4 linked regions of the Drosophila melanogaster genome follow. The protein of the gene in region 4 purifies or fractionates together with the protein of the main gene of each other region. This does not show direct contact. Each region holds a gene or a part of one and is shown on either strand. Other genes may lie near its edges. The genes, in order: Prx6c, GstE6, Rab3 and Gdi.

Evidence for each region.
Region 1: the proteins of Gdi (region 4) and Prx6c purify together in Drosophila melanogaster (affinity purification with mass spectrometry, with the first as the bait; one large-scale study listed by BioGRID). This does not show direct contact.
Region 2: the proteins of Gdi (region 4) and GstE6 purify together in Drosophila melanogaster (affinity purification with mass spectrometry, with the first as the bait; one large-scale study listed by BioGRID). This does not show direct contact.
Region 3: the proteins of Gdi (region 4) and Rab3 purify together in Drosophila melanogaster (affinity purification with mass spectrometry, with the first as the bait; one large-scale study listed by BioGRID). This does not show direct contact.

Annotation. Positions count from the first base shown.
Region 1 is NT_033778.4:10,416,923-10,420,283, forward strand, and holds Prx6c (peroxiredoxin 6c), read left to right. Parts: upstream 1-1,795; 5' UTR 1,796-1,882; coding exon 1,883-1,965; intron 1,966-2,027; coding exon 2,028-2,402; intron 2,403-2,465; coding exon 2,466-2,541; intron 2,542-2,604; coding exon 2,605-2,733; 3' UTR 2,734-2,839; downstream 2,840-3,361.
Region 2 is NT_033778.4:18,404,292-18,407,304, forward strand, and holds GstE6 (glutathione S transferase E6), read left to right. Parts: upstream 1-1,719; 5' UTR 1,720-1,750; coding exon 1,751-2,419; 3' UTR 2,420-2,470; downstream 2,471-3,013. Other genes in the region: GstE5 (glutathione S transferase E5), read left to right, coding at 343-1,011; GstE7 (glutathione S transferase E7), read left to right, coding at 2,664-3,013.
Region 3 is NT_033778.4:10,726,144-10,731,040, reverse strand, and holds the start of Rab3 (Rab3), read left to right. Parts: upstream 1-1,837; 5' UTR 1,838-2,436; intron 2,437-3,768; exon of another isoform or gene 3,769-3,981; coding exon of another isoform or gene 3,982-4,897. Other genes in the region: Daao1 (D-amino acid oxidase 1), read left to right, coding at 180-367, 433-556, 638-783, 853-1,402; CAH13 (carbonic anhydrase 13), read right to left, coding at 3,982-4,897. UniProt on the Drosophila melanogaster protein: Involved in exocytosis by regulating a late step in synaptic vesicle fusion. Could play a role in neurotransmitter release by regulating membrane flow in the nerve terminal.
Region 4 is NT_033779.5:9,490,667-9,496,590, forward strand, and holds Gdi (GDP dissociation inhibitor), read right to left. Parts: upstream 4,211-5,924; 5' UTR 3,950-4,210; coding exon 3,556-3,949; intron 2,438-3,555; coding exon 1,962-2,437; intron 1,880-1,961; coding exon 1,418-1,879; 3' UTR 510-1,417; downstream 1-509.

The sequences.
Region 1 (3,361 bases), on a different chromosome or scaffold from region 4:
ACAGTTTCGAGGACCGTTTACCGTTATGTTTCGACCGCTCAGCTACCGCACGCGCGCATCGCTAAATTTGAACTGAGCCGGAGCGCCAAAAAGCAAAGCAAAGCGAAAGCAAAGAAGGAAAGCAGAAAGGAAAACATGCGGCGTGGGCGATTGCGGTGCTTATCAAAATCAGCTGTTCGGAAGCTGACTTCAAGCGTTAGCTTTCAGGCGCAAAAGCTCTTCCTACAGTCACCGATGCGAAAATAGAATAGCTTTTGGAACACTAATATCAGTCTCAAGTTGAGACTCTCAGCCAAAATATTGGTTGACTTACATTTGTAAGCCATTTTGTTAATGCATCAAGCTGGTAAGCAAAATCGTCTGCTGGGGCATACTTTCAGGCGAAAACGAATATTTTTATACATCCTTTTGGCGGCGGGTTTCTTTCTGATGTTTTTTTAAATGTAACATATTTATAAGGATTAATATCAACGATATGCGCGGCCAAATTGAATTCTTGCGGCTATAAGTGAAAATCCTCATAAGTTTTAATTAAGAGAGGTAGTCAAAAAGAAACACATTTTCTTACATTGTTGTTATTGTTTTGTTCTTATTATTAGGGTTGTTTTTTAAACAAGATAATTTGTGAGCTTAAATAAGCTGGGTTACAAAATATCGAATATTTTTAAACTAATTTTATTAATTGTTATTAATAAGTAGGTCATTAAATTTTTAACGATTAAAACAAATTCTATTTTCGGTATCACAAAACTGATAAGTAATGGAAAATTACTACAAAACGTTTATTATAGAGACGAAGGTTTCTGAATTCTTAGATTAGACCTTATAACTAGCACCCTCTTACGAATGTACTAGTAACTTAGGAAATACGATCGAGCTATTGGAAGTGAATCCAATTTTGTTAAAGATAACCCACCTCTAAATAAATTTAACACTTGCTGCATTTTGAATATCCATGATGACTATATCTTTTATTTTAATTTCAACCATCTGAATCCCATTTGGGTACTGTCTTCTGAGTTAGCGATCTGCCCATCCGACTTTCCAAAACCCATTCGAACTATTTGTGTGTTTTACTGAAAAAAAAACCTATGCTGGTGTGCTTAATATTCGATAGACCCACGCACACAGTCTCATGATTTCACTCGCTCTTCACTTTCAATTGGAGGCTCGTTTTGTGTACGTGAACGGGAGAGCCGTGCGATCTATGGAAGTGTGCGATTTTTGGAGGCACTCACAAATACCATCACACTGCTCGGCGCTCTCTTGCTCTCAATATCCGCCTATCGATGTGGCTGTATGTTTGCAGGTGTTGGTGCTTCGCCTCTATTTACCAATACCATTTAACATTTAAATGCTCTCTGGCTCTCTGTTTATGTTTGGAACCGGCTTATCTGTCAGCTGGACCAGATCAGCTGTTTGGATGTTAGATGCTAAAGGAGTTTGCGCCTATTGGACTTTTAAAATGAGATTAATGAAGAACCAAATAAGGAAAACAGTACTTTATTCTAAGATACTTCCAGAAGCATTTCGTCTCAAAGTCCAAATTATGTACCACGTTTTGTAGAGGCCCCTGTCGAGTTTCACACACATGACACCATGCTCAAGGTTTCCCACTCCCCCCACCAAAGCAAACTACTCCACAATCTGTTCAGTATTGTTTTATAATCTGTTCACAGAATAATATACTACAAACAAACACGCGCGTTGAGGGAGCGCCCATTTCCTATCTCTATCGCACCCGCTATTTACGTCGATCACGTTGGGTATAAAAGACAGCCAGCTCTCCCAGTCAGTATTCAGTAAGCAACAAGTGTGCGAGCTAAAAGCAGCTACCAGTTGAGCAACTAAGTTTTTTTGAAACTAATAATCAAACAGCAAGATGCGTTTGGGACAGACCGTACCTAACTTCGAGGCCGACACAACCAAGGGGCCCATTAAATTCCACGAGTGGCAGGGCAACTCGTAAGTGCCATCAAACCCTTTTTCTCTGATCGAATCTTACCAATTCTTCTTCGGATCGCCAGCTGGGTGGTGCTCTTCTCTCACCCCGCCGACTTTACTCCCGTCTGCACCACTGAGCTGGGCAGGATTGCGGTGCACCAGCCGGAGTTTGCCAAGCGGAACACCAAGTGCCTGGCACATTCCGTTGACGCATTGAACTCGCACGTGGACTGGGTGAACGACATCAAGAGCTATTGCCTGGACATTCCCGGGGACTTCCCCTACCCGATCATCGCCGACCCTACTCGCGACCTGGCCGTCAGCCTGGGCATGCTCGACGAGGAGCAGAAGAAGGATCCCGAGGTGGGCAAGACCATCCGCGCCCTGTTCATCATCAGTCCGGACCATAAGGTGCGCCTCTCCATGTTCTACCCCATGTCCACTGGTCGCAACGTTGAGTAAGTACCTCTTTCGGGCTACAACTATTGTTAATCTCAACTGACGATCCTTTAATCTTACAGCGAGATTCTGAGGACCATTGACTCCCTCCAGCTGACTGATCGCCTCAAGGTGGTGGCCACTCCCGCCAACTGGACCGTAAGTTTTTCTACCCACTTAATGCGAACTGTTCCGAACTAATTAATTCTGTTTCATAAACAGCCTGGCACTAAGGTCATGATCCTGCCCACTGTCACCGATGAAGAGGCTCATAAACTCTTCCCCAAGGGATTTGATAAGGTATCCATGCCGTCTGGAGTAAACTACGTCCGCACCACTGACAACTACTGACACAAAACCGTTCCCCATTTGTGATCCATTCAATAATGTGCCGTATTTCCTGACATATACTATATACTATGTGCAGTTCATTTATTTAATAAAAAATTATTTTAACAAAATATCCAAACTATTTTAATTGATTTAATGAAAGAAATTTTTGGAGAATAATGTAATCCAATCAGAATTAGGGGAGTTACTGCGATTTTGACGTTCTTTTAGATTGTATAATGTCTGTTTTTTATTTCCTTGCGGATGGTATAGTGATTTTAATCTATTGATGTATTTCTATTGCAGTTGGTAAATAAGTCAAAACTGTATAATATATACGATGGAATAATAGTGAAAATGAGATGGTGTACCTTTTTTGACAAATTATTTGGTTTTTTATTTTATCAAAATCGTAGTGTTCTTATTCGGAATGCATCAGTTTTTAAAACCATTAGTCGTAGAGTAAAAGGATATACTGGGATTTCTTAAAAAGCATAAAACAAATAAAATGATGCCTTATCGACCATATGAAGTATATAAATTCTTGATCATGATCAATATCCGAGTCGAGGCTGAGCTGTCCGTCTGCATGAACGCCTTTGAAATTTATTCATTTTATTATACATATGTTGAACTTTCTCGTTCGCAC
Region 2 (3,013 bases), on a different chromosome or scaffold from region 4:
AGTATTATTTGAGTGAGTCAGTTCTAGATTGTTTTCACGAAAGTACTTAAACAATTTCGATTATCGTTCGACGAACCGTTAGACCGTATCAAATGATTGCATAATTTAAGCAGAACAGTATCTACAGAATTTGTAATTACACAAATTTTTAATGTTTCATTGAAACTTATGTTATTCTCTACACGAATCAACTCTTAAAGGACCAATCAACAAGAACCAACAAAAATTCTCTTAGAAATGTCTCTTAGCCATGCTCTCTTAACCTTTCCATTTGGTAACAACATTTGTACGCGCTCGATCCCAAGAATCAGTCAGTAGAGAACGTTAACTCAAAGTGCAAACATGGTCAAGTTAACTCTATATGGTGTGAATCCCAGTCCACCAGTTCGTGCCGTCAAACTCACTCTGGCTGCCCTCCAGCTGCCCTATGAGTTTGTAAACGTTAATATTTCGGGTCAGGAGCAGCTTTCTGAGGAATATCTAAAAAAGAATCCAGAGCACACGGTGCCAACACTGGAGGATGATGGTAACTACATTTGGGACTCGCATGCCATTATCGCGTATCTGGTGTCCAAATATGCAGATTCGGATGCCCTGTATCCCAGAGATCTGCTCCAGCGAGCTGTGGTGGATCAACGACTGCACTTCGAGACAGGAGTGGTTTTCGCCAATGGCATTAAGGCCATTACCAAGCCGTTATTCTTTAATGGCCTGAACAGGATTCCCAAGGAACGCTACGATGCCATTGTCGAGATCTATGACTTTGTGGAGACCTTCCTCGCTGGACATGATTACATTGCTGGGGATCAGTTGACCATTGCCGATTTTAGCCTGATCTCGTCGATTACCTCGCTGGTGGCGTTCGTGGAGATCGATAGGTTGAAATATCCCAGGATCATCGAATGGGTCAGGCGTTTGGAGAAGCTGCCTTACTACGAGGAGGCCAATGCGAAGGGAGCCCGGGAGTTGGAGACCATTCTAAAGTCCACTAATTTCACCTTTGCAACCTAGAGTTCTGAAATTATAATAAATAATTTGGAAACTTGTAAATATTGCGGTTTTTTATCTCTTTATATTTTAGATTTAAGAGAAATATCGCTGTAGGAAACAAGAGAACTTAGTTAGTTCCATTAAAGTAGCAAGAGAATGAAATGTGTATTAAGTACACAGAGAACCTATTACAGAATGTCGCTACATACATAGATAATATATATATTCTTGCCGGCAACAAACATTTTCGAGGGCTTTCCATTTTATTAACCTCTGTCAGCATGACTTGTATTTTCTGCCCGAGTACTGTGTAATCATTTTCACATATGATAAGCGGTTATCACAGAATACTTGTTGTTCTATGTTTGTGATTCATATAGTGCTCTCATATGTTCGCGCTAAAATACTTTTAATCAGTTTTTTTTTTATTTTAGATGTTGGGATAGGTTAAAAATAAACATAAAAAGAAAAGTAAAGTGAGTTCAAAAGAGTAGGAGGATACTTAAAAATTTGGGTTTGTATGACCAAAGACACTAGAATATTCTAGTATGACAAAGATATACATATGTATGCATGATTAGACATATATTCACATTCATACATATTATTATTGACTTGTAAAGTGCAGTAAATATAGAGATTTTTTCAAGTACACGGAATCTCTCTTAAATTTTCTCTTTCATTGATCCCAAGTTTTGTATATTATATTAGTTATTCGGCAGTTATGGGTTAGTTTGAAAAGAGACCCCACAGCGACAAGATGGTGAAATTGACTTTATACGGTTTGGACCCCAGTCCCCCAGTTCGCGCTGTTAAGCTTACTTTGGCCGCTCTAAACCTAACCTACGAATATGTAAACGTTGACATTGTGGCTCGTGCCCAACTTTCACCGGAATATCTGGAGAAGAATCCACAGCATACGGTGCCCACCCTGGAGGATGACGGTCACTACATCTGGGATTCGCATGCCATTATTGCCTATTTGGTCTCGAAATATGCCGATTCCGATGCCCTATACCCGAAAGATCCTCTCAAGCGGGCTGTTGTGGATCAGCGGCTGCACTTTGAATCCGGAGTGGTCTTTGCCAATGGCATAAGGAGCATATCGAAGTCAGTGCTCTTCCAGGGACAGACGAAAGTACCCAAGGAGCGATACGATGCCATTATCGAGATCTACGATTTTGTGGAAACTTTTCTCAAGGGACAGGATTACATTGCTGGCAATCAACTGACCATTGCGGATTTCAGTCTCGTTTCATCGGTGGCCTCCCTTGAGGCCTTCGTGGCCTTGGATACGACTAAGTATCCCAGGATCGGTGCTTGGATCAAAAAGCTGGAACAGCTTCCATACTACGAGGAAGCCAATGGCAAGGGCGTCCGCCAGTTGGTGGCCATTTTCAAGAAGACCAATTTCACATTCGAAGCATGATATTATTTTACAGTTTATATAGTCACAATAAATAATTGCTTAGAAAACTCTAGAGCTTTTGAATTTTTGTGGTGAAATAATTGATTTGGACACAAATGAATAGAAGAGGCGAGAGCAAAAACCTAACTGACTTTCTTATCTACTGCTCTCGCTTCTCTTAATTACTCTCTTTCGAAATTCTATAAATATAGTGACTCTTCGCTGTTGACGTTTAGTAATAGACGAGACTCTACCCAGCGACAAGATGCCCAAATTGATACTGTACGGCTTGGAGGCAAGTCCACCAGTTCGTGCCGTCAAATTGACCTTGGCTGCCCTGGAGGTTCCCTACGAATTCGTGGAGGTAAACACTCGGGCCAAGGAAAACTTCTCTGAGGAGTTTCTGAAGAAGAATCCACAGCACACGGTGCCCACGTTGGAGGACGATGGACATTATATCTGGGACTCACATGCCATTATTGCCTATCTGGTGTCCAAATACGGCAAAACGGACAGTCTCTATCCGAAAGATCTCCTCCAGCGTGCTGTCGTGGATCAGCGATTGCATTTCGAGTCCGGAGTGATCTTCGCTAATGCACTGAGAAGCATTACCAA
Region 3 (4,897 bases), on a different chromosome or scaffold from region 4:
GTGTTTATTGCAATTTTAAAAGAGAGCAGTAAAGTTTATCTCATCTTTGGAGGCGCGATGGAGAGCGGATTTGATAAGAGCTGATAAGACGCAGCCAGCTTCGCAAGCACCTTTAAAAGCATGCTCAGTACCAAATCGCCTTCCATTGGGATTGGGTATCAACTCAAAGCGGATCCAGAATGCATTTCGGAGTCTTGGGAAGCGGTATCATTGGTCTTACGACCGCCTTAGAACTCCAGAAGGAGTTTCCCACAGCAAGGGTTTCCGTGATTGCGGATCGGTTTAACGAGGACACCGTCAGCTATGTGGCGGCTGGAATTTTCCGACCTGGAACCAGCTTTATGGGCCCCACCCAGAAAATTACGCAGTGAGAATCTGTTTGGGATTCAAACACACCTGTTGTGCATCTAACGACTTTTCTTTTCATCGTAGACAATGGATGACCGATGCCTTCAACTACTGGGATGAGCTGCGTCGCTCCAAGGAGGCTCCTCTGGCGGGCGTGTGCCAATTATCCGGCTATATTTACTCCCGCACCTCCCCCTCCATCGTACGGGTACGTTGCCGGGCAGTCGACAATCAGTGATTCTTATCTTCATCGGCTTAATTCGATTAACTTTGTTGTTGGCTGCCTTAGAACCACTTTATTGAGAAACTATTGCCCGTCTACCGAAGAGCCACCGAGGAGGAACTGAGGCTATGCAACGGCGGCTGGAAGTACGGATCCTTCTTCACCACATGCCTAACGGAAAGCCGCCTCTTCTTGCCCTATGCCACTAAAAAGTGAGTAGCTGTTTTATGATATGAAAGAGAAACAATTTGAAAATAATCGTAAATATTAACATATTGTAGATTCCTGGAGAACGGAGGAGAGGTTGTCCGTCAGCATGTGAACAGCTTTTTCGAAGTGCCGCAGAACATTGACTTGCTCCTTAACTGCACCGGAATGGGAGCCAAGGAGTTGTGTGGGGACCAGCACTTGGTTCCCATTCGGGGTCAAGTGCTCAAAGTGCGTGCTCCCTGGGTAAAGACGGCTTTCTACGGCGATTACGACACCTACGTTCTTCCCGGATTTGAGACTGTGACCCTGGGAGGATGTCGCCAATTCGACAGCTACAACACCGAGTGGTGCAAATACGATAGCATGGCCATTCGAGAGCGTTGCTACGATTTGCTGCCCAGTCTCCGGAAAGCGGAGATCGTGCGGGAATGTGTTGGTCTGCGGCCACACCGCTCCGTCGTTCGGGTGGAGCCAGAACTGATCACGAATCCGGAAGGCAGGCGGCTGAAGGTAGTCCACAACTACGGCCACGGCGGCTACGGTGTGACCACGGCTCCTGGAACGGCTATGTACGCAGTTCGATTGGTACGCGATCTACTAGCGGGAAACAGTAAACTGTAGGTGGTAAAATCGTTGTTAATTGTTGGTCATTAAACTCTTTATACTCAGAATCTTTGAACCCAGATTTGATTTGGATTTTTTATTGTGCAATAAACTAATTGCAGTTCTCAAGGTTGCGATATGCGCCAGTTCCAAAGGTTTCAAGAAGGAATATTTAGAATATTTAAAGAAACAATTCTTATAAATTTTATTTACTGTTTTTATGAGTTCCTTGGTCTATATTGTTTCAGGATAAGAACATGGGTTCACAAAGTGAACGAATAAATTCGCGCCCACGAATAAATTCAAATGAACCCCTGGGCCAGTGCTCCACAAGGCTGCGGAAGTGCGAAGTGCGCATGACCGGCGCATGAATGGAAAGCTCGCCCGAAATCGCCGCGAAAGCTACGCCCACACACAGACACCCCAGGCACGGAAACCCATCGATTTTCAGCAGCAGGAAAAGCAGCAGGGAAATTGTGTGGGCAGCAGCCAGTCATCCAGTCAGTCAGTTAGCCAGCCAGTCAGCCAGGTTGAAACAGTTGAATTATGAAAACGTATACAAAACTGGCCCGTTTTCGCCGCACCAGTCAATTCGCCGCCTGAGAGCGAAGAAAAAATTGAAAATTGTGTGTCCTTTGGTGTCGACGTGTCGAGGCAAAAAGGTAGAACAGTTGGTGCGTTGCATTTGCTGAATAATTGAGCCACTGCAGCCGGAGTCAGTTCAATTCTGGCCAGACGAGTGGGTCCGCGGGCGTGTGAATAGTTGATTGGGTAACCGTAAACAACTCGACGAATCAATCGACGTGAAATCGCGGCGTATGTCAGTCCAGTGCCAAGGCTGAGTCGAGTCCTTTTCCTTATCCCTTCAGCGAAAGGAGCTGCCATTATCGATTTGTGTGTATGTGCGAGCAACAACACGGCGTACCTCTCACCCACACATCGAAAACAGCAGGATATTCTTGTGACAGCAGGATCTGCAGCAGCACCATCATAAACAGCAACTGAGATATTAGCAGCAGATACTACTGTAACCGCAATAACCTCAAGAAAGAGTAAGTTTATCTGACACATTAAGTATCCGCCATGATGGACCAAAATGGGTGAATGGGGGTACTAGTTCCAGCTAAAACCAAAATACCTGAGTTTTCGCATCAAAAACTTTGCAGTATCAGTTCCATATTGTCAAATAATGAGGCCGTTGGTTGGAATTTATTATTTTTACATTAAACTTCATTGATTTTGACATTATAAAGATTACACATCAACTTTTTAAAAGTATTTAAAAGGTATTTAATAACTCAATGTTACTTTTATAGTAGTTCCAAAAAAACTTCTGATGGATTTCAGCTTAGTGTATCATATCTTATTGACAATAGATATGGGCTATACATACATATGAATGTGGCCAAATAATACATATGTAGTTTTACAACTTCCAGGAAAGAGTTAATTGTTTATTCCCATTGATTGATAACTCGGTATTTATGCACATGCCTAATATTTACGTTTGACAACAAACCTTAAATTGAAACTTTTCCAATTGGAACCGTTAAGGCAGGATTGAGTTCTCGTTTTGGCCAATATTGGGTTTCTTATCAATAATTAAACAAGCCCGCAGCTGCCGACCGCTGAACAGCTGCCAAATCATTGGAAATTTGAAACATGAAAGAGCAGTTAAGGGGGTGGGTAATGGGGGCAGGGTCTGGCAGCCACCCCCACGCAGGGGGAAAACAACAGAAAAATCGATAATTACACGCAGTCGAGCAGATAAAAACATTTCCACACAGCGCCTGTGATAAGGGCCGTCTGCCGTTGAAGACCTCTTATTGCGGCCCCTCTTTGGTGTCTGCGTTTGGGTTTGGGTTTGGGTTTGGGTTCGGGCCCCTCCAGGATATTTCTGGGCCTGAAGAGGCTTGACAGGAGCGAAGCCTGTCCTTTTGCCAGCAAAATCCTTGACGATGACGCGCGCACTCGGTCCTTCTACACCAAGTCGTTCATCAGCAATCTGACAGCGTTTTGCCGCTGCGCAACTTCTGATTCTGGACGGGGGAAATAAGGATGAGCGGAAACGGAACCAGGAGAACCAGGCTATATACACAAATTATCGACACAATGTCGCCGCCTTCATTGCATATGGAAAACAGGCAGCCAACCATCCCGAATGGCAAACTGTAAGCCGAGACTGTTGTCACTTGCCCAAGCCAAGGCTGAAAGTTTTCAAGGCCGCACCAGCCCACCAGCCCACCAACCCGCCGTTCAGCTCTGAAATTCGCTTTGAGTTTTCCCAGTGACGTGACAGGGATAATCAAGTGGGTCCTTTCCCAAGTCAGGCCGCTAAAGCCAACCCCTCCCGCCTACTCCAAGGATTAAAAGTCAAGGGAATTGGGGGGTTATGCTTTAGAAAATATAAACGCAACTTGTTTAATCCACACGCACGCGATTCAATCACTTCCGGGCACAGAGAGAACTCCGGTTGGCCACCAGTTGGCCTTGACCGGTGTTTCATGTGCACCATCTAGCCCCACCGGTTCTTCGTGCAGCATGGACCACAAATGGAGTGTCTATGGATGACATAAAGGTTGATAATAGCACATTAGCTACTCGACCAGCTCCATGCGAATTCCGATGTTGACGCCATCGCCCACGCCGCAAAAGGCATCGGCCTTGCAGCCATTCTGTACACCCATGTTTCTTCCCGTTCCTCTGTTATGGATCATTAGCTCCTCCGGTGTATCCTGATGGATGCCGCACTTGGACTTGGATTCATTGACACCGCTGAATATCACAATGCCAGGATTGCAAAAGTTACCCTGATTGGGAGCCATCATAGGCATCTGAGATGGCTGTTCCAGTTGCCTAGGCGAATCCTTCCGCATCAGCGTAGTCATGCATATGCTAGTGTTGCTGCTACTAGTTATTATGGTCGTGGTATCTATGGTCTCAATTAGCTGACCTTCATCCTCGGAAGCAGCGATGGCCGCCTCGCTTGCTTGCTCCTGCTGAGCTTTCAAGTCGCTTTCCCTTTGCCGCTCCAGTTCGCGCTCTAGTTCCAATTGCTGCTCCTGCTCGATACGTTCCTCTTCGTGCTCCTCCTGAGCTTGAGCCTGGCATAGCTCCACATGCATTCTGGACAACTGGGCGGCATCGTATGGGCAGAAGCAGTTTAGGCTTACAACTCGATTGCCCATGTGCTGGACTGGTCGGCTGTTACGGGCTATGGGCGAGATCCCATCCGGACCTAGGAGCAAACGAAAGTGACGCAGCTGAAAGTCGCTAATGGCTAGGGATTCGGGAAAGATGAACCATTCGGTGCCCTGGTAACAGGGCGGATGGGTCAGCGAACCGCCGTAGGAATAGAATCCAGATCGAAATTGATACATCAAGTAGGATATGGGAAATGGAGAAATCTGGACACGCTTTCCAGGCTTCTGAACCAATCGCAAATTCTGCACCAGGGGATCCAGGAACGGATTGTGCGCGGATAGCTCAAAGACGTATCCGATCATCAGGAGA
Region 4 (5,924 bases):
CCATTTCCTTTACAGACCAGACCATCCTAAGTCACCTCAAAGAATACGTCTAAATCCTTTCCATATTCTTCCAGGATCTGTCAAACAGCAGATTTTCATTTCTCTGTGTGTATATAGTAGCCGCCTTGGCACACACTTATGGTGCGCTTCGTCACTACGTGGACTGCAGTGCATACTGATGTAGTTTAAATCTGCCGCCATTTGGCTGTTACAAAAGCTGAAGACGTCAAAACTCAGTGCCACTTTGGCTGGAACCAGAACTAAAAATCTCAAATTAAATGAGTCTGTGTGAAAGGTGAAAAGCTCCAGGACATATAAAAAGCTGGTAGCTATAAAACTCAAGTGACATTTTGAACGGAACCGGAAACTGAAAACGTTCAATAAAATGAGTCGGTGGAAAAACTCCAGGACAAGATTCCTTAATCCGAAAAGAAACCAGACTTTTGGGGAAAGGAAAGCAAACATAACATCCCTCAATATAAAAATAGTAAATAAAAAAAAAAATGTTTATATTTTTTTAATTTTTATTAAAAATGTAAATTCTGAAAATGCGGAATACCATAGTTCTCTATACCATTGACAAACTTCTTAGGTTCTGTTCTCTTTATATGTCGTTTGCCGCGCTTCGATCAATTGCATTATTTTTGGGTATATGCTGCGATGAACTTTTTCGACTGTTTTACATTTTCAATACCATCGATTTCTTTCTGGGGATTACAATTACAATTATAATGCTGCACTATGCATGTGTAAGAGTTTGTGTCGTGTTTATAGGTATGTGTTATGCTTTCGTTTGGAGCCTTGGCAGCCACACAAATTGGGTGGATCACAAAAAAAAAAAAGAAAGAAAAACCAAGCAGAAGGGCAATATACATAGATAATATATATATACGATGTCATATTTTATATATATATATATACTTTATTATATACTCGTACAACTAAAGTCCAAGCGTAATCGTCTGACTGACTGGCCTATCGGCGAAATGGGAGAGTGTTTGTCGAGTCTAGCGCTTTTGCTCGAGTCACAAGCTGAATCTGTGGAATTTGATTTAGTTGCCTAACACTCACTTAGTTATACATTTATATAGACGTACATATATACGCGACTGCATGTTGTATAATTTATGTTATATTGGTATATATATATATATATTTTCTAGGCATATCCAATATTGCGCGAAGCAAGCAATTCGTTTCACATCTAAAACTTCATCTCTCGATGGAAAGCATTTTCGTAATACAATTTCTGGATTTTCGGTTTTCTTTAGTTTTTTTGGGCTTTTATTTTGGGTTTTCTTATCTTGGGTATTTTTTTTTTTAAGGTTTGGCCACGACGCTGAGACGATCTACGATGTTTGTGGCTGATGTTGAGCTGTCCAAATGCACCATAACCAGATGAGGCCTTCATTCCCGTTTACTGCTCCTCGTCACCCAACTCGTGCTTGATCTTGGAGAAGTCGAACGTCTCGCCAGTGCCCCGCTTGAATATGTTCAACACATCCAGGCAAGTAGTCTCAAAGTGCGTGGTCGCATCGTAAGACTCCGAAATAAAGATTTGAGACTCGGATCCATCATCGATCGGCTCCAAATAGTCCGAAATGGTTACAAACTTTTGTGCGATCGGCTCCAGCAAGTCCAAGCCAGGCTTGATCTCCACCTCCGGGTTCTCGGTCTCAACGGTGGTCGAGACCATGCCCACGAACCAACCCTTGGCGGCCACCTGATGAGTGGAGCTCACAAGCGACACATAGATGTCCGACTTGCGGCCGACCTGCTTTTGTGGAATGATAATCTGCGTGGAGAGACCATCCTTGGTGCTGGCCACCGGATGGTCCAGAATGCAAATGCAGCGAATCACCTTGCCACGCTTGCGCACCTGTCACATAAAAGAAATGTAATACATGGTTATTTCCAAAAGACTAATAGGCTAGTTTACACAAATCTTTTGTGAATCTCACCTTCTCGGGCACGTAGCTGGGATCGCAGTAGACCTGCTTGCACTTGGCGACCTCTTCGCCGGAGCGCACTCCCACCACCTTGCCGCCCTCGCCGAGGACAATCTCGTCGATGGGCTTGTCAAGCATGTAGGTGCCGCCGTAGATGGCCGACAGACGTGCGAATCCCTGGGGCAGCTCACCCAGGCCGTACATGGGATAAAGGTAGGGCGACTTGCCGTAACGCGCCAGCGAATCGGAGTAGAGCTTAATCCGCCGGATGGTGTTCACGGCCGGCTCGTTCAGATACTCATCGTCGCGGAAAAGGGCCAGGGCGTGGCCGGTGAAGTCCTGCGTGTTCTTGTCCAGTCCGAACTTGTCGTACAGACCCTGCATGTTGGCCTTGGTGGGGTCAAAGTCCTTCCAGGTCTTGGGGTCATCTTCTCGGAAATCCTGCACGTAGATGAGGAAGTTCCGGAAGCGACGCTTCTCGAACATACCTGCAAGTAAAGTCACATTTATATATGTATATCCATAATGCCATATTGGTCAGTTTGGGGTTCAGGATCTGCATATAAAGGGAGTGCACGAGCCCGAGGGTTTCAAGTTTCCCGTTTCCATTTCATTTGCATGCCACAAACACTCACATACAGACACTCACTGGGACAACAGCACGCAACTACAGTGGGAAACCTTCAATTTAGGGGGCGGAGGACACACCACCAACAATCAGAAACCACTTGGCCACCCCATGACGTCATTCCGAGCATATGTGTAATGCGGACACAGTGAAGCATGGACAAGGTGTTTAACTTTCAATTAGCAAATTGAGACATCCAATAGGTATTGTTACAAACGGAAGTAAAATCTACCTAATAGTCACATTTTCATTGAAAATTTCTATTTTATATGCAAATTATTGATAATTAAAGACAAAAATTAAAAAATGTAGTACATCTAAAGTCATGAAATGTTTTCGTTTATAGGCAATCTCCACTGTAAAGTGAAGGGGGTTCAATGCGCCTGGCCAAAAACCTGGTTGCAAAAACTAAGTAAAAATTGAAATGGAAAAATTCAAGAGCCAATCATAAATAAATAGAGCGTGTTTTAGCTAATTGCATTGCTGCCACGAAGAAGAGGGAAAAACTTAAATTTCAAACAAAGCGAAATTCAGGTGTAAAATGGAGGCGACCAATTAGCGGCAGGTGTATGAATCAGCGCAGAGCGATTAAAATTTCGACTCCAATCGGAATAGGGCGATAATAGTTGGGCCAACAAACATGGTGTGGAAATGGATATGTGTGGGGGAAACTTTGGTAGAAATTCTTTGGCGAGCGAAGAAAACAACTGTTTTTCGGCACACACATACGTGTCACATTAAAAAAAAGGGAATAACAACAACAAGAGCTTTGCCAGCGAGTGAAAAGGCAGACAAAGAAGAGAAGAGAAAGAGAGTGGTGCGGGCGAGAGAGGGGAAGCAGATAACAGTCGAGTACGAAAATACATACATACAACCACGCACACACACAAGCACAGCTGGTAATTTGCACAATTTTTCGTGGGGGGCTCACCGCCAAGCAAAAAGGCAACGGGACTTAAAAGAGCATTATTAACGAACCCATGAGATCGGATGCCAGGGCCTCCTTTTGGTCCACCGGCACCTTGGCTATCTTGCCGCCCTTGTAAACGTAGCTGCCCTCGATGGACTTGAACTCCAGATAGCGGGTGACGCCCGTGTGGATCAGCAGCTTGACCAGCTGGCCATTGGCCATCAGGAACTTGGGGATCAGGTCCACGTTCCAGTCGCGGCCACGCCCAAATCGTTCGCCGGGCGGCTCCAGTCCGTAGCGCTGGAAGAGCTCCTCCAGCGGCGTTATCGAGGCGGACTCGCCGCCGTAGTACTTGTTTCGATCAATATGCAAAACCTTCTTGCCGGACACGGACAGCATCCCGCTGAGGATGCACTCCTTGAGGCCCGTTCCTAGCACAATCGCATCGTATTCCTCATTCATATTGGATCGCACTTATTTATATATTGCAATCACAGTAATTTATATATTTTTTTTATCCGGTTTTCGCCCTTTTCACTTGCTGCGACGTTCGATTTGGTGGACTTTTCTCTGCGCTCAATAATTTTTCTCTACTCGTTCGCCTTTCGCTCGTCCGCTTTGCGCTGCCCGTTTGCCGTCACGCCGTTTGCTGGTCACGTTACGTTACGTTTTCGTACATGCCCAGGGCTGCATGAGAAAGAGTTGCTATCGGCTGCTAATTGTACATGGAAATAAGGAAATAACCAAACAAGCATATAAGATATTTAATTTGCACACAGAGCATTAATGTACGAAAGATTTAGAGACGTGTGTGCAAGATTTTTGAATTGATTATGATTTTGCAAAAGTTTATTTCCTAGATTATTGACATTTCAGGGCTGCATGTCGCGCGCGCAAATTTATAGTTGCAATTTAAATTTGTTAAATGCATGTGTTGGTCTTGCATAAAGCAAGACATTATAAAATAACAAAACGGAGGATTCACAGATCGATCATATAAAATATAAAAAGATATTCAGCAATTATTGTAAACAGTATTTGAACGCTGTTTACCTATCGAGTTTTAAGTTACTGGAGATCTCTATTTATATCATATCTCACGCATTCGTTCATTACTTTTTATTTTAAAGAGAATACAATATAAGCAATTAGACTTTTCAATGTATGTAATAATTTCAAGAAAACCAACATTTGCGTACATTTATTATCGGAGACACGATAGACATTTATTCCGAAACTAGGGGCATTCTTCTTACAGCTGTTAGCACAGTTAGCGAGTCTGGCCACATCATCCCGAAGCCTCTGCAAAGTTTTACTGGTGATTTTGGTTGAAACGACGAGCCGATTCGGACGCGATTTTTGTATCGGGTTTATTTAGGTTGTTACGTTCTCTTCGCGTCGTTTCTTGTTTCTTTGTTTCGTCGGATTTTCGCGCGTGCAGCGAGCAAGGAAAACTAATCATACATAATCATACATTTTCGTGGAGCAAAAACACACGGCAATGTAAATGTTTGATTATATTTTCATTTAAAACGGAGCCAAACAACTGTGTACTTGTGTGAGTGTGTGTGCGTGCGGTGGCTGCGTGCTTGTGTGGAAAAGTGAAAATGCTATTTGGGCCATAATTGTATTGAAATTCTTAGCAACAACAACAAACCAAACCTCGAGTTCGTGGCAAAAAATAAGTTCGAAAAAAAAGACGAAAACCCCAACAAAAGGAAGTGAAAAAGTGAGCGGCTCAGGGATTTTTTATGCTGTGCTCCAAGTGAAATAAAGTCTTTGGGAAATAATTATTTATTGTAATTCCTTCGCTGAGGAAACATACAAAATAGAAAACAAAAAGATAATCTCCTGTCCCGCTCACACTTTCCGCCTGACCTCGGTTATCATATGTTACCTCCCTGTTGTTCTTGTTGTTGCTTTGAATGTGCTGCAACATTTTTGTATTGTTGCCATGCTGAAAAGTTGTTTTCATCCCCGTGTAAAAATAGTTTCAAACAAAAAATATAAAACAAAACCCCCACGAAGGCAAGGATAAAATAACCGCAGGCAATTGAATTGATCGAAAAACAAGCATAAATCCACGTCTACGATTTTATTGGGTAAGTTTTTCGTTTAAATCAAGTTGCCATATTAAAAATTGCACAGGCATAAAGTCGGAGGGAAAAAACATAATAAAGCACAGACGGCGGCAATCTACAGAAAAAACAAGTTGGTTGCCAAGAACCAGTTAGGCGTTGCAGACCAACTGCCCCGCCCACCGCCCTCGGCCCCCATCCTCCCAAAATATACGACGGGTTTTTTACCTGCTCGCATCCATCTCGCTCACTCATTCACACAGCCTCCGATCGTTCTGGCTTCTCCATCCTCTTTCCCCTTCTATCTCTCTCTCTCTTTGTCTTACCGGCATTTGATAAAAGGCAAATAGATTCAAACA